Linked DNA regions of Xenopus tropicalis. The main gene of each other region encodes a partner of the protein of the gene in region 6 in a complex. Links are inferred from orthologs where the notes say so. Each region holds a gene or a part of one and is shown on either strand. Other genes may lie near its edges.

Region 1 (3,500 bases), on a different chromosome or scaffold from region 6:
AGGCAGAATAGGGCAGGCAGATAATGGCACACACAGGCAGGGCAGGCAGAGTATGGCAGGCAGAGTATGGCAGGTTTTGCTGTACTACAACCATTAATATGGGTATGGTCATGTGATAACACGGGTGTGGTTTCAAGTGGGTGCGGTTTCAAAAAGGGGAGTGGTCAAAACTGGCTTCCATTATCGGCCCTCCACCACGTAGGTCGGAAAAATTCCGGCCCTCGGTACCACAGAAGTTGGACAGCACTGCCATATAGGCATCTGAGGATGCATATTTTTAACCTATTTAAAGGATAAATTATAAAAATGGACATCACAGAAAAGCAATCCTTTTCATTGGGCCTTATTTCAACTTTGATATGTATTGGCCCTTTAAAAAAAAAAAAAATCAGTGTTATAAAATAGGATGTCTTGGATTTGTTGGGTAACATTAATGGTCATGTCTGCCATACGTGTTCATCATTTATGCAGCCTTGGAATTTCAACTGTCTAGTTGCTATGGCCCAATTACCCTGGCAGCCAAGCAGCAGCTTGGAAGGCACAATGGAAGATCCGTATGAAAGGACTGGAAAAATAAGATACAAATTAAGAATTACAATGAAATTGAATGGCCCCTAACAACCAGATAGGATTTTTAACTTCAGGCTGGAAATAGGTAGAACAGGAGCTTTGATAATGCAAAAATCATGAAAAATAATGCAAAAGGATGGCAAAAACTTAATTGATTTTAGTCAACATATTTGGTGGACTATGATGGCACCCTGTACGTACTCATTTGTTTCCTACAAAAGAGAACCTTTGAACCCAGGGTGTATATTGTAATGTTTGCCTTCTCAATTTTCACTCCATGTTTTTTTTTTTTTTTTTTTTTTTAACATTTAGGATGAAACGGGAGCATATCTGATAGACAGAGACCCTACATATTTTGGTCCAGTATTAAACTATTTGAGACATGGGAAACTTGTGATAAACAGAGACCTAGCAGAAGAAGGTAAGTGTGCCCTTTTCAGTTATCCGGGTATGCAGATTTGGCTCTGGATAAAGCTGTGCTGATGTTTCACCATTTGGGGAATGGCACTTAGTAGGGGGAAAATACATATCCAGGCGTCTGGCTTGTATCAACAGAATGCTAGTTACAATGTGCAGCCCAGACAAGCATATTATAACAGGCTTAGATTGGAGCAAGAAAAAGGATTTAGTAGGTAGGTAAACAGGAATTTTGTCTTCATAAAACATTTTCTACGATTTATGATCTTGAGCATTGCTTAGGATTCAAACCCTGCTATTTATAAAGTGTTAGTGGATTCGGTGCAGCCCTACTGCTATTTTCTGAAATTTTCAAAAATTTTAAGGATTCGTCCAGTAGCGTGGATTTGGTGCAACCCTAGTTAGAAGTAACTGTGCTAAGAGAATTTTCTTAGATAAGGAATCACCTACATATGCACCTGAGGAAGGCTGGTTTGGCTGAAAACATGTAGTGTAGTTAATTTAAAGGCTTTAAGAGCTAGGGGCGTTCTGCTTGCCATGGATAGAAATGAATACAACTATTTTTATTGGATGCACTGGGAGCCATGACTGAAGCACTGAAGTCTGGCTTGCCATTCAGTAGTATGGGGAGTGAAGGCAGGAGGGAGATTTATATTGTTTGACTGTTCTCTGCATCATCACACTAAAGCCCTGTGTGCCCAAGGCTATGTTGGACTTCATTTACCAATCTATTTCCAATTGCCTGTCCCAAATAAAGTCCTTAATCCAGTGATGATTAATATTGCTGCTAAATGTTTTAACTTTATTTAGTGCTCTGAAAGCCTTTCTTTTTTTAACTTTCTATTCTGACCATGTCTGAACTTGAATTTCCTGTTTACCCGGTACGATTTGAGGGTGTGAGACTTGCATTTACCCTATAATCATACTAGCAACCACCCTTTGTGTGTCTGGGACTTTCTATTCTATTTGTCTCCAGAATGAAGTTTTCATTGCTTGTCTTACTGGCGTTCAATCAAATGCCTGGATCTATTGAACATTGGTCCACAAACAGCTGATTTTTATTTCTCCATGAAAGGGATTGTTTACCTTTTAAATTAACCAAGTATGACATAGAAACTGATATTCTGAGACCATTTCTAATTTTTTATTTTTGACTGTTTCAGATGTTTAGCTTTTTGTTCAGCAGTTCTCCTGGTTGGATTTTCAGCAGCTGTCTTGTTGCCAAGGTCTTATTTACCTTAGCAACCAGGCAGCAGATTGTATGAGAGACTAAAATATAAACGACAGGGACTGAATAGACGGATAAGGATTAATAATTGGCAATTATAATAAAACTGTAAGCTCAGAGATTTGGCTGCGGGGGTCATTGGTCAAATGGATCCCCATTTGAAAGCTGGAATGATGTAAATAAGGAATGCAAATAATGCAGAAATTTTAAAAAATTAAGACCAATTGCAAAGTTGCTAGGGATGAGACATTCTATAACATACTAGAAGTTAACTTAAAGGTGAACAACCCCTTTATTTTGGGTGTCCAGTAGCTATGGGGTGGCTTTTTAAAAACATTGGGCCAAGCAGGTTCCTACTACTGAATCTTCAATTTCCTAGGTACATTCAAATAAAGATTTTTACCTTTTTGCAGAAGTTTATTTTTCTGAAATCTTCACTATTCCTGCTAAATCTGCTTTCATATAGGTGTTCTGGAAGAAGCAGAATTCTATAACATTACATCGTTAATTAAACTAGTTAAGGACAGAATACGGGAAAGAGACAGCAAAACGTCACAGGTAAGGCTCACTGATATTTTGGCGACACATTTCCTGTAAATGTTTCTAAACATAGATTTGCTTTAAAATGTCTCTTGTGCCCTTTATTCTTTGTGCACGGTCGGTGTAACAAGACCTAAGTGTTGACGAATAGGAATGTTTGTTTTCTTCCCCTCTCTGAGACTGTTGCTCATATCTCACGTGGGTTCCAGTATACACTTTCAGATTATAAGCCTTTACCCTTGGCTTATTGTCACCTTAGGCTTTCGGATCAGTGCCAGATAAGAACACTGCACTGGCATCTATTTTTAGTCAGTACAGTATCTTGTGTGCTTAAGTATGAGGTCAACTGGGGATGTATCACATCCTTTACTTCTCTACCATTCAGCCCACTTGTCAGTTCACAAAAGTTTATTGATGCTTTATACTTTAGAGAATGAGTAATGCCTAGAAATGATGTCTTCCCCCCCCCCCCCCCCCCTTGTTATTAGCATCACCATTTTGATGGTTGCTATTTCAGTGTATCCAACCATTGCACAGCTGCAAAACTCATTATCTGCATGGGAGAGTTGTCATTAAGCAAAACTTTGTTTCTGTGCTTTCAAAGCAACGTTCCATCTCTGCAAATGTTTTTTTATGGTCCTTCGTGTTTATTAAGTCTGCTTTTACATACTTTACCAATTTGCCAAAGATATTTGCTTTGGGCCTCCATCCCAAGGTGTGTAGTGGCGCCCGTAGAGAAAGCTTA
Region 2 (2,631 bases), on a different chromosome or scaffold from region 6:
GACTTCCCCCTTGTGAATTTTTTATGACCGGTTTACTTAAACGCATAGTGACTCATTTGAGGCTTAACATTTAGCACCTCCATGTAACTACAACTTTCCTTGTCCTTTAAAAGCTGGACACCCTATATGGTAGTGCCAATTAAAAACCTAATGAGTGAGACTTGACGGACCAGCTTGCTTGATTATGCATTGTAGCTTGCTTGCCTCGTATAATTTGTGTTTTTTTTTATTTTTTTATTTTCCTGTCCAAGGTTGCTTGTTACAGTCCGAAAACAGATCAGTGGACTCTTGTCAGCCCTCTTCCTGCAGGGCATGGTGAACCTGGTATTGCTGTACTAGCCAAGAAAATCTTTGTTTTGGGTGGAAGGTCACACAATCAGGGGGATCGAACAGACTATGTGCATGTGTACGAAGCAGAAAGGGACTACTGGGAGGATGGTCCAAGGCTGGAAGATGACATTTCAGGAATGGCTGCTTGTGTCCTCACCTTGCCCAGGTCTGTGCTTATGGATACTGATGTGTGGACTCAGGAGATGTACATGCAGTACATGGACCCTGTGCAAAATTTGGCTGACAACGCTTCTGAAGTGATGAGTGTTTCAGACTGGGAAGACCTGGATAATTCTGGTGAAGACTGAAATCTTTCTTCAGTCATGTGTAAGTGGTGTTGTACATGGACTGATTATTCCTCCTTTCAAGAGCATCTGGCACTTTTGCAATGTGCATGTTCTTTCATGAGAGGGTTTAATAAAGTGCAGGGATTCAGGTTTTTGTGCACAAAATGCCTTGCTCTGTTTTTTGCAGTGCATTAGCTTTTGATTTGATTGCACCAAATCCCGGTGCCTTCAAGACATCTTCATGCAGAAATCCCTTTTTCTAGCGCTTTCTCTAGTGGGCTGGGCTGGCTGTTGCTGTTTGGATCATACTAAAATAGTGACACCATGCAGTGAGAAAAGATCTTCTTAATCTGCTTTAGGGATAAGACTTGTTAAATAATATTTGAAAAACTTGCCAAATGTACAAAAATTTAATTTTATTTCTCTTGTATATGTCTATATATAATTGTATGTCAGCACAGTTGTCTTTTGCATATGGAAAGTGCACAGGGGTGGGGATGGAATGCAGGAAAGCTGGGGCCCTAGATTCATAACACACTACAGAAATAAAGGACATCCGACATACTTCCTACCTGTTGCTAAATTACTGCTTCCATCCCTCTTGCTGGTAGTTGTACCTCAGCAAATGCACTATCTGCCTAATAATGTTACTTCTAAGCTGCTTGTTTGTGCACCAGTGTTGACAAAATATTGTGGAGTGAACAGGAAAATAAACACAGCTTACATGAAACTGCAGGGGGTATTGCTGCCCAGTCTTGCACGAGGTGCAGTGAATATTAATTGGTTACAAAAAAAAAGATCTTTTGATGAATTGCCAAAATGTTTTAATGTATATTCATTCTTAAATCAAATTTGATTCTCTTCCTTATATTTTAGCAACAAATCATCTCATGTTTATGTTAAAAAAAGGCAAACAAAAAGAGTGGATCATGTCATGTCCTTGGAAATTAAAGGAACAGTATCGGCAAAAAAAATGGGTTAAAATAATCAAAATATAATGTACAATTGCCCTGCGCTGGTAAAGGTTGTTTTCTTCAGAAAGACTGCTATAGTTTATATTAACAAAGCTGTTGTGTAACCAAGGGGGCAGCCATTTAAGCTGGAAAAAAAGAAGAAAAGACACAGGGGTTACATAGCTCTGTAGAATACAATTGTGTTTTACCGAGCTTATCTATTATCTGCTATGTAACCTGTGCCATTTAGCCCTATTTCAATTAGAATAGCTGCTGCTAGCTTTAAACTATAGTAGGATTTCTGAAGCAAACACACTAGTTTTACCAGTGCATGTATTTGAATTACTTTGATATGCTATCATGTTTTGATGTGACTGTTCCTTTAAGATTTAAACATAATGGCAGCAGCAAAAACTTGTTTCAGTGGGCATTGGTGAGAATTGCCCAGGATATCCCTCTTGATTACCCATCATGGCTCACAGGTAGTTTGGCTTTAAGTGTGCAAACTTGGTCTTAAGACAAATCCACTGTAAAAAATATATTAAAATCATGTTGTTTTCATAATGTGTTTGAGTTCTACCTTACTTGCATGGATACATTCTTCTATCTGCACTATCTCTGTTATCTTCTTTGCACCAAATGAAATCTGTACATTACTCAAGATTCTCTTCAGGCAAAGCCCTGACACATGGAGATTTTTAACTGGAGAGTGTAAAGGTGGCCATACACGGGCCGATTGTAGCTGGACTGATTCGGCAGCTTATCTGCCCATGTAGGGGCAGAATCGATGGCCATAGCCGACCGATATCTGGCCTGAAATTGGCCAGATATCGATCAGGCAGGTTAAAAGATTCAGTCAGATCAGGGACTGCATCGTCTTGTTGATACGGTCCCTAACCGACTGTGCCATTGCCGCCGTTAGAATTCGATCATTTGGCCTACATTTTCCCAAATTCCCCAACCCGTAGGTGGGGGTATCGGGAGAAGATCCGCTCGTTTGGCGACCTCGCGCACCTTAACTTTTATGATGGGAACAATGTTTTGATATACTTGTAATCTTG
Region 3 (3,438 bases), on a different chromosome or scaffold from region 6:
AAAAGTACGTCTCACTCATGGCATAAGCTTTCCATAATCTTCCCAGCACATCTCATCATCCAGTTCTCTATCCGTTCTCTATCAGTTCTCATGTATCTGTGCTTGCACAGATTCATCCCATGTAAGTAGCCCCTAGGGTTAAGGTTAGACTGTGGAGTACCAAGCATAGAAGGATGATAGAGGAGAGCTGAGGGGTAGGAGAGTGGGTCACTGACAATTGAAGGAGAATAAGTAGAGGGCAAACAATAGGCAATGAGTTGTGTAGGGGGCACATCAAGACAGTAACAGTTGGGGGCATATTTATTATGCTGTGTAAAAAACAGCCAGAACTTGTTGAAAATAACAGCGTAAAATCTGGCGTTTGGACTGCGATCTTCTCTGTTTAATTTACACAGCTTTTTACGCAGCAAATTTGTTTTACACAGCTTAATCAATATACCCCTATGAGTACGGGACAATGCATAAAAATGCACATTACATATTTCACCGCTGCTTGTGCCCTAAGCTACAGAAATACACACTTGTGGAACACTCACTCACTTACTCTGAATACTGCACTGTATTTATAGGGTAAGTGGTGGCCACATCCTGGTTATCTTTGGAACAGGCTCTAACTTACCTGTCATTTGTATGTGAAGGCTACGGAGAGCTGGGAGTGCCCTGTACTTACCACCTGCCTATAGACTCTACACCCTGTGTTGGATTCCTAATCTGGTGCAGGCCATCATGACCCCAGGCACAAGGGATAATTGCATGGGTGCTAAGGGGTGCAATTTTTCAGATTTTTGAAGATTAGCAGAATGGCTCATACTACCCTATATGACTATAATGATCCCCTGACTCAGCATACAGTTTCTGCAGCACAGGGAAGCAGTATATTATATTATGTTTACATTTGATTGATTTTTCTGGATGTTGCTGTGGAATATTGCCCAGCGTAGCAAAGCTGAGTCTTGTGGGAAAAAAAACATATGTCAATATGCCTTTCGTGCATTGTTTTTAAGTAAATTTTGCTTTTCTGGGCACATTTCTAAGTAATTCTATTTTAAAATAAACCTACCCTTCTTGAATAAAAATGCATCTGCTAGAGCGAATAATTCTAACTTCCTACATTTTTTTTTCAGCCATAAATGTCATCATGTCTGTCACCGTCCATGAAAATCGCAAATCACGCACCAGTACAGGATCCATGAATATCTCATTATACCATAAACTCTCACACTCTGACTGTGTTTTAAACCACCTAAACACCATGCGAAAACAGCGGCTCTTTACCGACGTGACACTGTGGGCTGGAAACAGATCTTTCCCCTGTCATCGCGCGGTGCTGGCAGCCTGCAGTCAGTATTTTGAGGCCATGTTCAGCAATGGCTTGCGAGAGAGCCTGGATAACACAGTAAATTTCCATGACAGCCTTCACCCAGAGGTACTGGAGCTCTTACTTGACTTTGCTTACTCTTCCAAAATTATCATTAATGAAGAAAATGCCGAATCTCTTCTGGAAGCTGGAGATATGCTTCAGTTTCATGATATACGGGATGCAGCTTGTGAATTTTTGGAGAAGAACCTTTATCCCTCAAATTGTTTGGGAATGATGATTTTGTCAGATGCACATCAGTGCCAGAGACTGTACGAGCTGTCCCTGAGAACGTGCTTATCCAATTTTGCAACTTTGCACAACACCGAAGACTTCTGCAGTCTTTCAAAGGACATGGTGCTTGACTTGATCTCCAGCGATGAACTTGAGATTGAGGATGAGCAGGTTGTTTTTAATTCTGTACTACACTGGGTAAAGGAGGACTTGGACAAAAGGAAGGATTACTTTCCAGAACTGTTGAGAAAGGTAAGGCTGGCTTTGCTCCCGTCTGAATTACTGAAGGAAGCTGTGGTTTGCGAGGATTTAATTATTGCAGATGAGAGGAGCAAATTAATCATGGATGAAGCTGTTGTCTGCAAGAAGAAGATACTTCAGAACGATGGAGTAGTAACAAGTCTGTGCGCCAAACCACGGAAAGCAGGTCACACTTTACTTATTTTAGGAGGACAGACTTTTATGTGCGATAAGATTTATCAAGTTGATCACAAGGCCAAAGAAATTATTCCAAAAGCCGATCTTCCAAGTCCAAGGAAAGAGTTCAGTGCCTGTGCCATTGGGTGTAAGGTCTATGTAACGGGTGGACGTGGTTCTGAAAATGGGGTGTCTAAAGATGTTTGGGTTTATGATACGATCAATGAAGAATGGTCAAAGTCAGCCCCAATGCTGATTGCAAGGTTTGGGCATGGCTCTGCTGAACTGGAGAACTGCCTTTATGTCGTTGGAGGGCACACAGCAGTTGCGGGAGTTTTCCCAGCCTCTCCATCTGTGTCATTAAAACAAGTTGAAAAGTATGATCCATTAACAAATAAATGGACGATGATGGCACCATTGAGGGATGGTGTAAGTAACGCAGCTGTGGTCAGCGCTAAGCTTAAGCTCTTTGCCTTCGGAGGCACTAGCATACATCGAGATAGAGTCTCCAAAGTGCAGTGTTATGACCCTGATGAGAACAGATGGAGTATTAAAGCCGAATGCCCACAGCCATGGCGTTACACTGCTGCAGCAGTGCTAGGAAGTCAGATTTTTATCATGGGGGGTGACACGGAATTCACAGCAGCTTCTGCATATCGCTTTGATTGTGAAACCAACCAATGGACAAGAATAGGAGATATGACTGCAAAACGTATGTCGTGCCACGCGTTGGCTTCAGGGAATAAAGTGTACGTGGTAGGAGGTTACTTTGGGACGCAGCGGTGTAAAACGTTAGACTGTTATGATCCAACTTCAGACTCCTGGAATAGCATCACCTCAGTGCCTTATTCTCTTATACCGACTGCTTTTGTTAGCACTTGGAAGCATTTGCCGGCATGAGCAGGTCTGTAGAATAAAGAGCTAAACGGATGCCTTCTAGTTTGTTGGTGCTCTGTCAGTTTCCTGCATCTGCCTTCATGGTGCAAAAACACTTCTAGATCTAGCGGCGTGATTTAAAGGAAGCTCACCATCAAATGAACTTGTAATTTATGCAGCTATGCAATTGGTCTTAATCTTTTATTTCCCTTTCAATTTTGTGTCTTTCTAGAGTTAATCTTTAAATGCTCAGGTCAATAACCGCGGCCAGGCTGGAAAGGTTACTTGGTTATTTTTCTCTCTTTCCAGTCCTTCCCGCATTCAGCCTTGATTCTGACTTTGAAGTCGGTGCTAGGGTCACTGACCCATTCAACCAGATAACAGTAACAGTCAATAATAATACCAGGATTCTCCAGCTGGGGCCTGCAGTCCAGTGGTGTTCCAGTAGAAATTGATGGCCTTTTTAATTGACTTAACTATATGGCAATTATTTTTATTATAATCTGGCTCCTGAACATGTGCCATGGTGCGCAATTAGTCCACTGTATGAAGAA
Region 4 (3,500 bases), on a different chromosome or scaffold from region 6:
ATAACTTGTGCTGAATAACTGAGTAGTCTAGAGATCAGCCCAAGTAATGTTGGCTTTTAGATTAGGAAGTGAGAAACTTAACTTAGCTTTTTTTACAATAATAATAGTGTCTTAATATTTTTCAGTGTTTTTTGAAAATTATAGATTTTGGGAGTGAATGAATCTGATTTTAATTTTCTTTCTTGTCCTCTACATTCAGTAAGCTAGATCACTTGCATAAATTCCTCAGCAGTGCCAGCAGCTAATGCTTAGGGAGCATCCTTCATTGAGGCTGATAAGTTGATACATTTTTCAGCAGCTTAGGAAGCCGGAAACCTTTCTTCCTACTGAAAGAACAGGGGATTGGGAAATGAAACCAATTTAAGACTTAAAGAATTTAAGAGTGAAAGGCAGAATTACTGAAAGGCTTTTAGTGATTATAGTCACTTACTCCCTACCACAGTACACCACTCCTCCTCTTCAGAAAAAATGCGCTGGCCTATGGTAGTTTTGAGTGCCACATTGCCATATTGTTCTGGTGTCCCAAGCATCCCCTGCACCTATTGCACAGTACAGGAATTGGGGAATAAGTTATTTCACATACCCCTATATGCAATTTTTTGTAGTATTGCCATTCATTTTCACAGGCAATGAGTAGGTAAAGGATTTTTAAAAGGGTTTACACAGAATATGATTCAACTGTAGGAATTTACATTGTGCTTAATTCCATAGCAACCTGCAAGTTTATCCACCACAGTAGGAGCTCACTATCACCCCCATCCTTCTTGATAAGGGAACTTCTCCTTATGCGATATGATTCTCACTATGTTCACATTCTGTAAATTGTTTAGGTACAGGCAGCTCCATGTTGCCCTTCCTAATTGTAGAATGCTGTTTAGGTATGTGTTATGCTATGTACCATGGGCTCCCCTGCAAGAGGAGACCACAGGGACAGACCAGTACGTAGTCTGCAAACCTTGTTAAGCATGTATGATACCCTTATATTCTGTATTCAGTGCCAGGGTAAACCAAGGATTTTCCCAAAATGTAACTACTGATTTTTCCTGTGACCTCCTATAAGAGGAAACCAACTGCTCACCAGTCGTGACCTCTCCTATAGGTGATCAAAGGAAAAGCTACTGTCACATTTTCTCCTCTAAACACCTATTCGACTGCTTTGTACCCTACTCCAGAGTATTGGATAGTACTGACTTGTTTTGGTATTGTTGTGTCATCCATTTATGTCTTGTTAGAAATGTGGGTTGTTGACAAACATAATTACTTAGTTGGTAAAATTATTTTATTTAACTATATGATATTTATCATTTTTAAGGAGCTCTAACAGCTGTCTGATCAGAGCTCTACATGCATACTACTTGCCATAGATTGCACCCCATTGACATCAGTGGGAAGTGCCAAGGTTGTACTATCTTGGATTCAGGTGATAAACTCTTTAGTGCAGATGTTTCATCCCACTGAGTTCAGTGGGAAGGGTTACATGTCTTTGAGTGATTTATTAATCACAAGTTGCAGCCATCAGGGTCCCATGTTCATTGCCCTTACAATGCAAAAAAGAAAAATGTTTGAGGCAGAAATCTCATTTAGAGTACATCAGGGTTTGGCACATGGCATGTATTTCTGCAGTATGTTTCAGCCAGGTGAAGCAACTAGAAGCACCACTACCAGCATTTCCTTTTCCTTATATTTTATCTGAAAAGGCAAACTAAATCCCTACCCTCTTTGCTGTTAGTATTACCCTCCCCAACAGCCTACTCCCCCTGTCTAAAATACCACATGTTAAGTTTGGTTGTGGTACATCTGCTGCCAGGTTCCTTGGCAGTCCTCTCCATGCACGTTTTGTTGACTGTTTAGGTAGAGGTTTTACCGCAACAGAGACCTTTAAAGGACTATTAATAGAAATTTCATTTATTTCTATTCGGTCCCAAGTCCTTGTTAAAGCAGTGTGTGTTTAGTGGTGTCACTGCCATAAACAGTTATATTTTATATATATTTTTATATATTTTAAAGCGGACCTGTCACCTTAAGAAATAATTTTAAATTGTTTTCTTTTGTGTTTGGCAAGCAAAATAAACTTTACTTACACAGTATAAATTATTTTAATCTTATTATCTTCAGCCATGGAATTCACAATTGCAGCAAGCAGGCAGGGGCCATTTTGTGGACACTGTTATCAAAGCAGGCATTGCATCCTGCCAATATCTTGTTTCTGTGCCAGTACGGGGGGACCTGATGCCCATGTTCATGCACTGGTTACACAGTTACATGGTGAGGAGGGAGGGGGAATGTGAGGGGTGCAGCAACATCTAAGAAGTTCTGAATTGAAAATTAAAGTAACTGTCTGCCCCACCTCTATGCCTAAGGCATAGAGGCGGGGCAGGCATTATATGATTGACAGCTGGGATTTTAAAATGCTTTTATAATGGGTATGGATGTGGTAATAAAAAAAATATTTTGGGCTTTATGTTTAATTTGAAAAGGACTTTTATTATACAGCTTTTTATGTCTGGGTGACAGGTCCACTTTAAATATATGCTTTTTTGGAAAAGGTAAAAGTGCTGGGTAAATCACCATTATATGTAAATAGCATTATGGAATTTTCAGTTTCTGGTCTTGGAACTTTGAGAACATTTAGAATTGCATTTAATTGTAATACTAGGCACTGTCAAAAAACGGACCATAGCCACTAATTTAAATGGAAAGTATTGCTGGGCTCCTGGAGGCACATTCTGCCTAATCTAGCTACATTGGGTCTAGGGTAAATTGGAATTGATGCTTTATTGCACAGAATGTTTCTCTTTTTATTATTATAACTTATTAACATTACTTCTGCTGTTTGTTTTTCAGGTTCTGGGAATATAATGTTAATGGCACAGTCTGGATTTCAAGTAGCCTCTGTCAAGGAGCACTCTGTTAATTAACTCTCAGCAATTACGGGCACTCTGGATTGTGAAATCTAAGATGTATGAAGTACTTTGTTGGATTGGTATTTTAAGGCACTTTTACTAACTGTGCCGCTGTCACTTAAAAAAATTTTTAAGAATTTTTGTCATCTACACAAGGCGCCCTTGTTTTGCTTTTTAGCCAGTGGACATATTAATGGAATGCAGCCATGTCCACCCAGGACGAAACGCAGATCAATACTGAATATGCGGTTTCCTTACTGGAGCAGCTGAAACTGTTCTACGAGCAACAGCTACTGACTGACATAGTATTAATTGTTGAGGGCACTGAATTTCCATGTCATAAAATGGTTTTGGCAACATGCAGCTCCTATTTCAGGTAAGTTAAAAAGCATTGCTATGGAAAGCACTAATAAGTGGTATAGACAATGTACATTGTAGAATGTTCAGCCCTGATTGTTAATGCTATAGGAATATTTGGATGACATGCTTCTGAGCTGTAAACTTGCTTCACATACCTTTGTATTCAATGATAAGGAACCCACTGAGATTTTAAAGCCATACTGACTATGAAAATCCTTTGGAGTATCAGTATTAAAG
Region 5 (4,193 bases), on a different chromosome or scaffold from region 6:
TCTGGGATGTTCAGCCATGCTGGTGACGGTTGATACCTCATAGAGGGTGATAGCATTTGGTACATTATTATAATAATTATTTTTTTTTTGTTTGTTTACACGCCAGCAACACAGTGATATGCTTGCGTGTTTTAAACTTTCAGTTTTTTGTGGAAAATTTTGGTGAAAACTTACCCACTGCTAGCCACTTCATGTGAATGGGAAAAACACTGTCTATAGCTTTTTTGGAGTCTCGGGACTATGTGATATTTGTCTGATGTTTAAAGTAATTAATCTGGATCAACTAGTAGTTAGGCAGGTTATATATAGGCATTATGGGTGAACATGATGGACGTATGTCTTTTTTCAACCCAACTTACTATCTACCCACAGGATACTTTGGGCACACAGTTTAGTCTCTTCCAGTTTGGTTTCTGTGTGGAGCCCTCAAATAGAAGCCCAGGACATCAAATTGCTACCATCAGAGTGCCTATGGCTCAGTGGCCTGATTTAAGCAGCCAGTAATTACAGGGTTCTCTGTTGGACAGTCACCAAATGTTGTAAAGCATGCATGGTGTTTGGTAACAATAGCATCTGAAAAACATTTAACTTACACTTGATGTTAATTATTCCTAATGTTGGCTTTAGTAGATGCAATTGATAATATATAAACATCTTTTTTGTAAATATAGTCATTTCTTGCCAGTTGCATAGGGCTATATATTTCATTCTACCTCATTCCAGTCAATAGAAAACTTGGATTGGGGGGGGGGGGGGGGGGGCAGCAGGATATACTGTATATTTTTTAATAATAAGCTTTTAAGTTTCAGAGTTCTTCCTTTGCAAGTTTCTTATTTCTAGGCTAGCATAGCTAGAATGAGAGACATCTGTGGATCTAGAAAGGGTAAGAGAAATATTTGGATGGCATATTTCCCAAATGCTGTGGGCACCAGCTCCTAGGGCCAATAGCAGCACAATCTATATTTACATCCTTGTTGCTAGTGGTACTAAACAATAGGCATGAAGCTGCAGTGTTGTACTATACAAAAGCTGGCAAATTTGGTCTTTTTTTTTTTTTTTTTAAATAACCTGGCTTCACATGACTCTATGCACAGCCCAGAAGGGGTATCCCAGAACAGCAAGGAATTGAGGGCACCCTATTCAGAAAGTAGCCCAATGACCCGTAGTAAAACGTAGGGAAGCAGGGGCATGACAGATACGTTGGTAAGACGTAGCCACCCCCAGTTGCAGGTGATTGGTTGATTTGTAAGGGGTATAAAAGGCTGGTAACTGTTCCCGCTTCTCAATCCATTTTAGTCAGCATAGTAAAACGCCCACCCTCCCTCCCTATAGAGGTGGAGATAGCGGAGTGTCGTCGGCGGGGTGATTAAGTTGGGGGAAAACAATGGTTGGGTTAGGAGGGGAGTTTTATAGTTAATTGGGGCTGGCATGCTTGGAACCTCAGGGGTAAGAAAGTGGATTAGGAGGTGAGTTTTGTTGGGTAGTTGGTTCCGGGCTAGAAGGGCAGCTGGCAGCGCCAGTTGCGCTGCGCAGTTATTGGATTGTTACAGTGTTTGGTTATTTAAAAGTTGGTTTGTTTGTTATACAAACATTTGTGTTATGTTTGAAATGTTGTTTCACATTTGTTATATATGTTATGTTTTAAATTAAAACTTTGATTGTTGTTAATAAATTATCTGCGGCCATTTTATCCCAAGAATTGGTGTCCGTGTTGTTTATTGGGGATGGTAAGTAAACAGGTAAAAAGGGGGGTGTTGGTTGGGAGAAGGGCGGGTCAAGATCCAACGTTACTCATGTCAAGGATTCCCCCTGCTTTAGGAACAACTCCCTCAAATATTTGCAAATTGAAAAATTACATTTTGAAAATCCGGGTGTATATTTACTTTAAGTTGGAAGCTATATAAGCTTGGATTTATAGGAACCCTTGGTTCAGGCTTCCTAGTTTCCTAGGCTTTTCTTACATAGAGATAAACAAGTCTTTCTTCGGAAGAATAATCTAAACCCATACCAGTAAGCTTTACTAATAAATGATGTGGCATGAAAAGATGTGACATATTTCATCATCACCTATTTTTTAGCACCAGCAAGTTGGCAAAGTTTTACAATAATTTACCTTTTATATTGTGATTTCGTAAAACACCAAAACAACTGCCATAACTTGGCTGTGTATAATATCCATGTGACGTGGAAGACAACTAAGAAATGTCTCCAAAATCAAACTTTACTGTTATGCACCCCTGACATGTTTACCTAGAAAGTTTTAACCATTGCATTGGAAAAGCAATATACATGCAGAAGGAAGAAAGGGGAAATCAGACGCGTGTACATTTTCAATTACTATGTCTAGGTCCCTACTCTAAATTCTTTACACCAAGCCCTGTAGCTCTAAGGTTATCGGTTTTGGCAGCCAGCTCCAAAGTGCCTGGTACTGTGCCAGCAGATTACCACAAGCTGGATATGAATATACAGTCATGCATAGTGTATATGTGCGTATATATATATAGATACATCATACTACTTCTACAAACATGGGCATAATATGAATACCATATGTAACCTGTCTCTGATGTCATTTACAGTACTGTGGTAGGATGATGCAATTAAAGCTAAGAAACACACTTGTTACATTTATGTGCAGATTCTACACTTATTACATACTGTTCATTGTGCTCAGTAGGATTTTAGTACTTACAGAGCTGCTCCCTGCAGAAGTCCTGGGATACCTAAGGGTTACAGCAAGGCAGAATCCTGTTCACATTCCTCTCCACACAAGCTATTTCTGATGGAGGGAGATGGTGTTGTGGTGGTAGGATCGCTGCATTGTCAAACTCTGTAGGGGAATCACTAATATGTTTCCATGACTTACACAAAATACAGTCCCAAAATAAGTGTCTGACAGGACTCAACTGTACCATAACAAACTGTAAGCACAAAATAGCGCAAAAAGGCATCCTCTTCCCTCTTGAAACATACTCTTTTAGTATTAGATAATAAATGACTCCCCCCCCTGTGAGCGCAGTTCAGATATTTGAAACCAGGCTAAATTAACAGCATTGTCCTGGTATGCAAAGGCAGTTAACTCTACTTCTTGCCCTAAATAAATCCTAAGTCGCACATTCATGGCACCCTGCAGAGCAGCCAGGCATTCACAAGTCTCAGCTGCAAATTAACTTTATACTGGACATTTGCATATGGATTTTTTCTGCCTACCCAGAAGATGGGTGCCAAAACTATGTTAAAACTTTTACTACGCAAATACGGCATGTATCTAAGATCGTACAGGCTGGTTGCTAAAATTGACTGTGAAATTGAGTGTGTAAAAATTTGATGGTTTTGTACGATTTTATCGATACATGTATGGCTAGCTTTAAGTGGCCATACATTGTGCAACCCTGCACCAATCAGTGCACAGATACCATATAAGGGGTCAATATATGAGTAAAGTTTAAGTGTTCTCACTGTGTTTGTGTAGGTTGCTGGGGTGCTTATTCTTTGCTAGGATGTGTTGCATATCGGTGCTATGTAAATATTGTGCATTATAGAAGTAAATTTAAAGAAACAAAAAAAAAAAAGATTCAGAATTGGCTAGACTTTGGTTTGTGGACAGTATTGTCAAATTATTGGTTACTGCCCCCCACCATTGTGAAAAACTGCTGCTTCCATATCCGGTGCAAGTTCATAGTTATTGTGTAATGTGTTAGTCATTACAGTACAAGAAAGTCACCCAGCAACAATCTGAAGTCTAGTAGTTGACACTGACATGGGAATGACTAGATAACCCATATGTGACTCACATTCTAAACCTGGGATTCCCAACCTTTTTTACCTGTAAGCCACATTCAAATGTAAAAAGAGTTGGGAATCAACACAAGCATGGGAAATGTACATGGGGGTATTGGCTATTTGGTAGCCCCTACGTGGACTGGCAGCATACAGGAGATTCTATTGGGTGGTTCACATGGTTTTTATGCAACTAAAACTTGCCTCCAAGTCAGGAATACAAATATAAGCACCTGCTTTGAGGCCACTGAGAGCAATATCCAAGGGGTTGGTGAGCAACTGGTTGGGGATCACTGATCTAAACCATAGCTAAATCCATGTCTTTACTATATTACAAGTAAGCTCTGGTTTAGAGTGCAAAACAGTGCAGGGTCAAAAAAATGACACACTGATTTTCGCCATCAGTTTTGCTT
Region 6 (4,291 bases):
TACTGTTTGGAGTGCAACGCAGGAAATGCCAGAAAAGAGTTGATTAAACTCTCACCTCAATGACTTCAGTCATTTACACAGGAGAAAGGTGTGCTAAATATCTTATGCCCCCCAAGCCTTTAAAGAGACATTTCCATTGTATACAGTTCCACAACCAGCAGGCAGTTCTTCATGGTCTAACAGCTTCCCTGTTTTAGTTACAAGTCTATTAAAAGAGGCAAATAAACATTAAACCCACATCTCACTCTTACTTGCCTTCAGGCTTGGCTTCCAAACACCATAACAAGGTTATATAACAGAAATGTACAAGCATTGGGTTAATAATCACCCTGCTAAAGCTCCAGATCAATTAAACACTCACCCCGGATTTTACTCTCTGGTCTTTAGGCTGCCCCCCTTAGCTTAATAACAAGGTCCCACAAAAACTGGATGGCCTTAATTATTTTCATGATGGTGCACTATAGTGACAAATTATTATATTATGAGTATTATTATATTAAAGGAACAGTAACACCAAAAAAATTAAAAGTTTTTTAACATAAATATAATGTACTGTTGCCCTGCAGTTGTAAAACTGGTGTTTGCTACAGTAACACTACTATAGTTTATATAAATAAGCTGCTGTGTAACCACGGGGGCAGACGTTCAAGCTGATAAAAGAAAGAAAACGCACCGGTTACATAGCAGATAAGCTGTGTAGAATATAATGGGGGTTTATCTGTTATCTGCTAAGTAACCTGTGCCTTTTCTGCTTTGAATGGCTGCCCCCATGGCTACACAGCTGCATTCCTTATATAAACTATAGCAGTGTTTCTGGGGCAAACACACCAGTTGTACCAGTGCAGGGCAACAGTACATTATATTGGAAATGCTTTTATACAATGTTTTGGAATTTCTGTTTCTTGGGAGAGTGGGCATCTTAACATGAGTCTAGCCAAACTAACGTTAATTAAGTCAAAATCAATCTATTTCTTTAATATTGCATGTTTACTTGAAGCTACTTAGTAACCCTATCCATACACCTACGGTAGGTGTGACAAATTCGTTGTATGGCTAGGGTTCCCGGGTTCCAGACGGTACACATTAGTGTCTATATACGCATTACCACCTAAAGAAGCATAAGTGACGACAGGCGTTTTGTATATATACGGAACGCGTCAGCCTCCACGTACGAACTGCGCTCAGAGCGTCACATGACGTCACTTGTCAACGTTCCACGGATTACGTCGCTGTCGCCGGAGCCTGCGCAGCAATGTATGCGCGATGTAATAAAGTTTATTGAGACGAGGTAGGGCTGCGGCTTAGTGACAGCGCTCCGACCGGGGGTGGGAGGAAATGAATGGAAGGGGCGGGGCTGGGTATGGAAGGGCGGGGCTTGTTTGAACTCTCGCGACACACACCCCATTCCCAGGCTCCTCCCCTCGCCGGCCTTGCTGGGAAAGGGATGTTTGTCCGCCATCGCGGAGGAGTTTAGTCAGCGCTGGGTGTTAGGGCGTTCGTATAGTTTTAGACCCCCCTGCAGCCCCGGGGGCCGCATTGAAGGGAGACCAGACTGCCGTAAAGGAGCTCCCGCCGGGTCGCTGACAGGCCGGGCCCGGGGCCTCCTCACACCTACACCCGCCGGGGGGAGACAAGGAGGGGCCCCGGGGCCGAGTGTGAGCGAACAGCCGCCAACATGTCGAACCTAGGGAAAAGCACCGGCAGCCGGAAGGATACCAAGATGAGGATCCGAGCCTTCCCGGTGAGACTCATAGGATACTTGTGGGCAAATCCCCGGGGGCCACATATGGATGGCAGTGTAAATACAGGAGGCGGGCTATAAGTGTCACTAGCTGTGACATCCAACCTATCATCCTGTAGCTCCTCTTCTACCGGATATCCCAGCATCCTCTCCGAGCCAAGTGCAGAGCTGCTAGTGTTTGTGCACAGGTAGCACTGCATTGTAAACATTGGCTGCAATGTGCTTCCAATAAAGGCTCTGTGAGCTGTATGTATGGCATGGAAAGCCCATTGCCTCTGTACAGCTGTGCTAGCTGTGACTGGATCATTTCATCTAGCTGCCTGACATCTGTATGGCCATGAGTATGGGATGCCCAAATTCACACATTATTTATACTAAACTACTACTCCCAGTATCATCTGACAGCGAGCCCCATTGCAGTTTACCATATAGATGTGTATCATGAGCCCCCACTTAAATAAACTAGACAGGGATACCCAAGTAGCCATCCTATAGCCAATACATGGAGCATATCAATGCCAGCTGGAGTTGTGCTTCAGCAGGTGGGCTGCATTAGTTGCCCTGACCTGTACAAATGCATGAGGCCGCTTGCCAAAAGATATATAGACTTGAGTTAATAAAAAGCAGTTCCACCCCAAAACATATTAATAAATGAAGAAGTCATTGTTAGAAACTTGCCATTAGGGTGAAGACACATGGAGCAACTTAGTAGCAGCTACTAGTCATGGCTAATACATGTAAATGTAAATGATCAGCATTGTCTGTTTCTGTAGCCATGACAAGTGGCTGCTACTAGTAGGTCTGTGTGTCTTCACCCTTATAGTTTTCTGTTGTTTATAAGGGTGAAGACACATGGAGCTAATAGCTGTTACTTGTCACGGCTACAACAATAGACAATGCTGATTATTTACCGATACATGTCTCTACGTGTGGTTTAGCAGAGGCAATTCTCAGTATTGTCTATGGCAGAGTATTTTCTGGCATTTACTAGCCATGACAAGTAGCTGCTACTTAGTAACTCATTGTGTTTTCACCCTAAGCTTTTTTTAATCTTGGTTAAAAGTAGTATTTGTTAAGTCCTTTGTGTAGCCTAGTTCTGACTCTTGAACAATGTAGCAGAAGTCTGTTTTCCAGGTCTTTTAATCAACTACTTTCTGTTGAATTATTTCAGGTGTCCAGCAGAGGAAAGAATATAAACTGAAATAGAAAATACTTTACAAACGCAGAAAAAAATTTAATATTGGAAAGTTGCCTCAAAATATAGTTATACAAAAAGCTGTTTGTTTTTTTTTTGGGCATATTTCCACTTTAATAATGTGTACTTAGTTCAGGACTTATGCAGTATATAAACAAGTATTGTACATCCCAGGTAACAGCATATTACAAGTTAGTCATTTATTTCCCTGTTATGTTCTTCTTAAAACCAAAAATTGCTTGGATGAATATGTATATTCTAAGCATGTAAAATATATATGCATTATCCCAGCAGATCATCCACTGTTCTCTGACAGTGTTTCCACAGCTCCTTGTAGCTGCACTGATGGGCAGTGTAGCTACGGAGTGTAAATCAGACTGAGAAATGCAAAAGCCTACATTTTCAGGCTGTTCTTTGCTTGGTGTAGCTGCACTTGGTGGATACACTGGCTGTCACCATAACATTAGCAGTCAGTAAATAGACATTCAGGTTAGAAGATTTGTATGGAATGCAGTAGTGATTTCCTGCCATTTGTTGTTGGTCACTGATCTATGGTTTCGCCAAAGAGAGTGGAGTATTATCCAGTCTGGTGAATATCCCTACACATAAAGATATGCACAGTTATGTATAATGCCGCTTTACAGTCATTCTAATCAGAAGCCAAAACAATGCTGATGGTGGGAAACTGCAGTCCATGCATTTGGCACCTATTGCCTCACTCGCTGTGGACCCTTTACCTGGATAGTCAGGCAGTGAACTCCTTGGGGCATTTTTGTAATGGCCTTCCCAGCCCAATCTGTCCCTCAGATGTCACCTGGGGACACAGGTATAAAGGCATAACATTCTGAGTACATGCTTCCAGTGTTAACTTGGTGTGCAGAGACCTGAGAGTTTATATTGATTTCAGATTTGGAGCTGCTCTTATAGCAGCAAGGTTGTAAATTGGTTGTTAGATGAAGGAAAGGTATTTAATCCTGATCTGCTCATGAAGATATGGGAATGCCAGTGCACACTAAACTAGGCAGTGCACCTGTATGCATGCTTAAAAGAACATTGTACTGGCAGTTCTACAATTAGTGATTCATACACACAGTTGGCAGGCAGTCTCACTGAGCTAAGCAAGCAAGAGAGTTTCCATTCTAAATCTATATCTTGGTGAAGCCAGCCAATTACCTGTTGCCTGAACGTTCATTTACTGTTTATTTAAATGTTTATTTAACATTTAAATTATTTTTGGTATGACTTTGTAGCAGACCAAAGGTATGGTGATCCAAATTATGGAAGAACCTTATCCAGGAAACTCCAGATTCTGTGCAGGTTATATCTTGGTGAAGCCAACAAATTGCATTCTTCCT
Region 7 (4,281 bases), on a different chromosome or scaffold from region 6:
TGAACAGCCCCCTAAGTTTGCTCATAGCCTGTACAGAGAGATACCATAAAACTATGGCACATAGGGATTCCCCTGTACTAAGCACAATTCAGCACCTTGCTATTTCCCTTGCATGTCAGTTTGACAGGATGATGGGAGTTGTAGTTCAATAACAAGGGGAATTAATATGGTTCCTATAGATGATAAAATAGAAGGTGTGCTTAGATTCTCAATACAGGACTCAGGATATAAATTTATTTTATTATATGAGTTCATCCAAGTTTAGAACTTGGAGTGGAACCTTGCACCTGGTATGTAAAGGGGAAGTAAACCACAAAATATTTTATTTTGTGCACAGAAATCGAAGGCCTGCGGTAGCTTCACAGGTGAAAAACACCAGCAGTCAAAATGCCCTGGTCCACTAGTCACCACAGCTAATGCTACTCAAACACAAGCAGTATATTTCCCCCTAGCAATCAGGAAGCGGTGTGAATGACAGATTTGAAGATAACCTGTAAAATAAGACTTTAAACTAGTTAGGGGTTGCTAGGGTCACTGACCAAGCAACCAGGCAATTGTCTGAATAAAAGACTGGCATCCTGGGCTCCTCAGTGGCCATAGCTTCATAGGACAGAACCAGAACAGAAAAGCAAAGTGACTAAGGAAAACAATATTCCCCACCTGATTACCTCTTTTGGTTCATGGAGGGCTCCTGGGTCCAGCACCCGTTGCTCGGGTTGTACGAGTGCACGGCACTGATCTCTTGCCCATTGTCCCTCCTACCTCCAGCCACAAACAGGTAGTTATGGAGTGTGGTAGCCCCATAGCCTTGCACCCTCAGCATACTCTGTGGGACCTCTCCGGTCATGACTTGCCAACCGCCTCCCCCTTCCAGGTACCTTAGTAGCACCCAGTTGTCAGGGCCCTGTTGGGACAGGACCATAAGGGCTGGGGTTCCTCTCAGCCTCTCTTCCAGGACACGAGTTCTGAGGGACCTTGGGCTCTGCTGGAAGTCTTCCCTCCTCAACATAGAAAGGTAATGAGCAGCCATGAAATGTAGAGCTGCCGAAGCCAAATCCCACTGGCCATGCAACTGCGCCACCTCCAGGATATCCAGACACGTGTCCAGGGACATGGAGGACTGCAGGAGAGACAGAAGACCTTGGACCTGTAGGTAGGATGCGGCTTCCACCACAGCCTGTAAAGGGCCCGATGACTCCAGGCCGCATGTTGATTCATCCTCCAGTGAGCAACGTTCTGGATCTTCCAAGGAAACAACCTGGAAACCAAACTCGGAACCCCCCTGAGCTTCTAGAAGGGAACCCCCAGTGATGTGGCGGAGAACCCCTTCCAGGCCCTCAGGGGTCAGCCCATGCAGAGTCACTGGTTCCCCATGACTTTCCCTCATGCCCGACCGGAACAGTGACTGGAAGAAACCACTCTGAGCCACCAGCTGTTCCCTAGGTACAGAGTAACACCTAGAACCCAACAGTATCTGAACTGTTTCTACAGAGGACATCACTTATACATGCATGATGCCTTCAAGAACCCAGAAATGGAACCAGAAAAGGGATCTACCAACATAAAAACATCACACTATTTGTGCACCGCATAGCTACAAGAACCTTGGGCACCTAATCAGGGCATCAAACTCTCATATCTGCAAGAACCTTGGGCACCTAATCAGGGCATCAAACACCCATACCTACAAGAACCTTGGGCACCTAATCAGGGCATCAAACCCTCATATCTACAAGAACCTTGGGCACCTAATCAGGGCATCAAGCACCCATATCTACAAGATCCTTGGGCACCTAATCAGGGCATCAAACTCTCATATCTACAAGAACCTTGGGCACCTAATCAGGGCATCAAGCACCCATATCTACAAGATCCTTGGGCACCTAATCAGGGCATCAAACCCTTGTTTCTACAAGAACCTTGGGCACCTAATCAGGGCATCAAACACCCATACCTACAAGATCCTTGGGCACCTAATCAGGGCATCAAACACCCATACCTACAAGAACCTTGGGCACCTAATCAGGGCATCAAACCCTTGTTTCTACAAGAACCTTGGGCACCTAATCAGGGCATCAAACTCTCATATCTACAAGAACCTTGGGCACCTAATCAGGGCATCAAACACCCATACCTACAAGAACCTTGGGCACCTAATCAGGGCATCAAACACCCATACCTACAAGAACCTTGGGCACCCAATCAGGGCATCAAACACCCATACCTACAAGAACCTTGGGCACCCAATCAGGGCATCAAACACCCATACCTACAAGAACTTTGGGCACCTAATCAGGGCATCAAACACCCATACCTACAAGAACCTTGGGCACCAAGCACCCACTCTGGGCATAAGAATATCAGGCAGAGAACCAATAAAGGAAATGCCCAATGTTCCTTACACCCCCCACCCATGACAATTAAGGAATCTCTTGGAAAAATACTCCAAAAATAACAGCCCAGAAGCAACACCCTCCAATCAGGAACAGTTGCCCAACTAGAGAATGGACCTGGATTCCCCACCCATCAGCCGGTCCCGTTTCAGCTCAGCAAACTGAGTAACAAGAAAGTCCAGAAAGAGAGAGAATCCCATCTGTGCAGCTTGTCCATTCAGCTCATTGTGCCAGCAGCTCTAGCCCCATTGGCTGCCCCCACTTGCCCCCCTTGCCCAGTCTTTCCGTTTACCCAACATGGAGAGAACGCCCCAATACAAACTGACCATCCAGGCATTTCACTTCCTGAATGTGCAGAAGCTTGTAAAAAACCCAGTCCCCTCCACCTGCGTGCCAGGGACCACGCCCACTTATACGCAAACACGTACTTGACACGCCTCCTGCCCCTCTTATAACCACAAGCCGCGCAAAGACACGCCCCCATTGCCAGACGCACCTCCTCATGGAAGCGTCTGCTTCATAGACAGGCCCCTCCCCTTCCCATATTGTGTTTTCCCCCCCATGCCCCATAAACACTGGCCTTATATGTGCAGCTGGGATTCTCTATGGGAGGGCTATATCCCTGCCAGACGCCATCCCCATGGGAACAGGCAACCCTAGCAGATATTACATAGTAGTTGGAGTTCAGCCTTTATCGCCCAACTGAGAGACTTTAGCTGTAAAAGCCGTAAAGAGATACTGACACCAGAAATTAAACCCTTTATTGCAACTGTCATGACACTGTTTGTACATTTATTTATTTGCCCATAGAAGTGTTTGCCCAATGCATTTATATTACCTATCTGGTCTCCATGTCCCTCTATGAGGCGGCGGCGGCCATATTTGTGCAGCCATTATTGGTTAGCATTAGGAGCTATAACTGACCGGCTGGGAGGGGACACTCAGGTTTAGGAACGTCAAATAGAAATGACTTACATTAACAGCCCTCCCTACCTGGGAGGATGTTGAGGAGAATGCTGGGAAGGAAGCTGGAGGATGCTGGGGGGGAACTGGAGGATGCTGGGGGGAGCTGGAGGATGCTGGGGGGGAACTGGAGGATGCTGGGGGGAGCTGGAGGATGCTGGGAGGGAACTGGAGGATGCTGGGGGGAGCTGGAGGATGCTGGGGGGGAGCTGGAGGATGCTGGGGGGAGCTGCAGGATGCTGGGGGGGGAACTGGAGGATGCTGGGGGGAGCTGCAGGATGCTGGGGAGTGGAGCTGGAGGATGCTGGGGGGGAACTGGAGAATGCTGGGGGGGAGCTGGAGGATGCTGGGGGGGAGCTGGAGGATGCTGGGGGGGAGCTGGAGGATGCTGGGGGGGGAGCTGCAGGATGCTGGGGAGTGGAGCTGGAGGATGCTGGGGGGAGCTGAAGGATGCTGGGGGGGAGCTGGAGGATGCTGGGGGGAGCTGCAGGATGCTGGGGAGTGGAGCTGGAGGATGCTGGGGGGAGCTGGAGGATGCTGGGGGGAGCTGGAGGATGCTGAGGGGAGCTGCAGGATGCTGGGGAGTGGAGCTGGAGGATGCTGGGGGGGAGCTGGAGGATGCTGGGGGGAGCTGCAGGATGCTGGGGAGTGGAGCTGGAGGATGCTGGGTGGGATGCAGAGGGGAACTGGAGGATGCTGGGGGGAGCTGGAGGATGCTGGGGTGGGGAGCTGAAGGATGCTGGGGTGGGGAGCTGCAGGATGCTGGGGAGTGGAGCTGGAGGATGCTGGGGGGGAGCTGGTGGGAGGATGCTGTTGGGAGGATGTTGAGGAGGATCCTGGGAAGGGAGCTGTAGGATGCTGGGGTGGGGAGCTGCAGGATGCTGTGGAGTGGAGCTGGAGGATGCCGGGGGGGGGAACTGGAGGA

Evidence for each region.
Region 1: the proteins of cul3 (region 6) and kctd5 are in contact, whole or in part, in a cryo-EM structure (PDB 8U83), measured with the Homo sapiens proteins. The link is inferred for Xenopus tropicalis from reciprocal best matches to the Homo sapiens genes CUL3 and KCTD5. Residues at the interface, in NP_003581.1 of Homo sapiens: Thr24, Met25, Asp26, Glu27, Lys28, Tyr29, Val30, Asn31, Ser32, Ile33, Trp34, Asp35, Leu36, Leu37, Asn39, Ala40, Glu43, Asn48, Ser50, Leu52, Ser53, Glu55, Glu56, Leu57, Arg59, Asn60, Ala61, Tyr62, Thr63, Met64; in NP_061865.1 of Homo sapiens: Trp45, Phe55, Leu56, Thr58, Thr61, Arg64, Asp65, Lys67, Ser68, Pro96, Thr97, Tyr98, Phe99, Gly100, Pro101, Leu103, Asn104, Tyr105, Leu106, Arg107, His108, Gly109, Lys110, Leu111, Val112, Ile113, Asn114, Lys115, Leu117, Val122.
Region 2: the proteins of cul3 (region 6) and klhl22 are in contact, whole or in part, in a cryo-EM structure (PDB 8K8T), measured with the Homo sapiens proteins. The link is inferred for Xenopus tropicalis from reciprocal best matches to the Homo sapiens genes CUL3 and KLHL22. Residues at the interface, in NP_003581.1 of Homo sapiens: Thr14, Arg17, Ile18, Arg19, Ala20, Phe21, Pro22, Met23, Met25, Asn49, Ser50, Gly51, Leu52, Ser53, Phe54, Glu55, Tyr58, Tyr62, Leu66, Met118, Asp121, Ile122, Met124, Tyr125, Arg128, Val129, Gln133; in NP_116164.2 of Homo sapiens: Asp73, Tyr74, Arg76, Gly77, Met78, Gly81, Gly82, Leu83, Lys84, Glu85, Leu92, Ile93, His94, Leu117, Gln121, Val125, Cys128, Gln129, Gln131, Pro133, Trp146, Glu150, Asn151, Asp154, Val155, Arg157, Leu161, Phe162, Asp163, Ser165.
Region 3: cul3 (region 6) and klhl25 share a complex: the UniProt entries of both Homo sapiens proteins name them as parts of the BCR(KLHL25) E3 ubiquitin ligase complex. The link is inferred for Xenopus tropicalis from reciprocal best matches to the Homo sapiens genes CUL3 and KLHL25.
Region 4: cul3 (region 6) and kbtbd2 share a complex: the UniProt entries of both Homo sapiens proteins name them as parts of the BCR(KBTBD2) E3 ubiquitin ligase complex. The link is inferred for Xenopus tropicalis from reciprocal best matches to the Homo sapiens genes CUL3 and KBTBD2.
Region 5: cul3 (region 6) and klhl21 share a complex: the UniProt entries of both Homo sapiens proteins name them as parts of the BCR(KLHL21) E3 ubiquitin ligase complex. The link is inferred for Xenopus tropicalis from reciprocal best matches to the Homo sapiens genes CUL3 and KLHL21.
Region 7: cul3 (region 6) and klhl42 share a complex: the UniProt entries of both Homo sapiens proteins name them as parts of the BCR(KLHL42) E3 ubiquitin ligase complex. The link is inferred for Xenopus tropicalis from reciprocal best matches to the Homo sapiens genes CUL3 and KLHL42.

What each region holds. Positions count from the first base shown.
Region 1 is NC_030685.2:28,823,122-28,826,621, reverse strand, and holds part of kctd5 (BTB/POZ domain-containing protein KCTD5), read left to right. Parts: intron 1-882; coding exon 883-991; intron 992-2,681; coding exon 2,682-2,773; intron 2,774-3,500. UniProt on the Homo sapiens protein: Its interaction with CUL3 suggests that it may act as a substrate adapter in some E3 ligase complex. Does not affect the function of Kv channel Kv2.1/KCNB1, Kv1.2/KCNA2, Kv4.2/KCND2 and Kv3.4/KCNC4.
Region 2 is NC_030677.2:152,826,019-152,828,649, forward strand, and holds the end of klhl22 (kelch-like protein 22), read left to right. Parts: intron 1-251; coding exon 252-638; 3' UTR 639-2,131; downstream 2,132-2,631. UniProt on the Homo sapiens protein: Substrate-specific adapter of a BCR (BTB-CUL3-RBX1) E3 ubiquitin ligase complex required for chromosome alignment and localization of PLK1 at kinetochores.
Region 3 is NC_030679.2:111,537,627-111,541,064, forward strand, and holds klhl25 (kelch-like protein 25), read left to right. Parts: upstream 1-1,132; 5' UTR 1,133-1,138; coding exon 1,139-2,908; 3' UTR 2,909-2,938; downstream 2,939-3,438. UniProt on the Homo sapiens protein: Substrate-specific adapter of a BCR (BTB-CUL3-RBX1) E3 ubiquitin ligase complex involved in various processes, such as translation homeostasis and lipid synthesis.
Region 4 is NC_030682.2:61,961,583-61,965,082, reverse strand, and holds part of kbtbd2 (kelch repeat and BTB domain-containing protein 2), read left to right. Parts: intron 1-2,844; 5' UTR 2,845-3,109; coding exon 3,110-3,279; intron 3,280-3,500. UniProt on the Homo sapiens protein: Substrate-specific adapter of a BCR (BTB-CUL3-RBX1) E3 ubiquitin ligase complex that acts as a regulator of the insulin signaling pathway, modulating insulin sensitivity by limiting PIK3R1/p85alpha abundance in adipocytes.
Region 5 is NC_030683.2:99,627,038-99,631,230, forward strand, and holds the start of klhl21 (kelch-like protein 21), read right to left. Parts: upstream 2,801-4,193; 5' UTR 2,693-2,800; intron 1-2,692. UniProt on the Homo sapiens protein: Substrate-specific adapter of a BCR (BTB-CUL3-RBX1) E3 ubiquitin-protein ligase complex required for efficient chromosome alignment and cytokinesis.
Region 6 is NC_030681.2:123,779,715-123,784,005, forward strand, and holds the start of cul3 (cullin-3), read left to right. Parts: upstream 1-1,491; 5' UTR 1,492-1,675; coding exon 1,676-1,741; intron 1,742-4,291. UniProt on the Homo sapiens protein: Core component of multiple cullin-RING-based BCR (BTB-CUL3-RBX1) E3 ubiquitin-protein ligase complexes which mediate the ubiquitination and subsequent proteasomal degradation of target proteins.
Region 7 is NC_030679.2:10,512,130-10,516,410, reverse strand, and holds the start of klhl42 (kelch-like protein 42), read right to left. Parts: upstream 2,801-4,281; 5' UTR 2,315-2,800; exon of another isoform or gene 2,289-2,314; intron 2,270-2,288; 5' UTR 2,019-2,269; exon of another isoform or gene 1,839-2,018; 5' UTR 1,499-1,838; coding exon 669-1,498; intron 1-668. UniProt on the Homo sapiens protein: Substrate-specific adapter of a BCR (BTB-CUL3-RBX1) E3 ubiquitin-protein ligase complex required for mitotic progression and cytokinesis. The BCR(KLHL42) E3 ubiquitin ligase complex mediates the ubiquitination and subsequent degradation of KATNA1.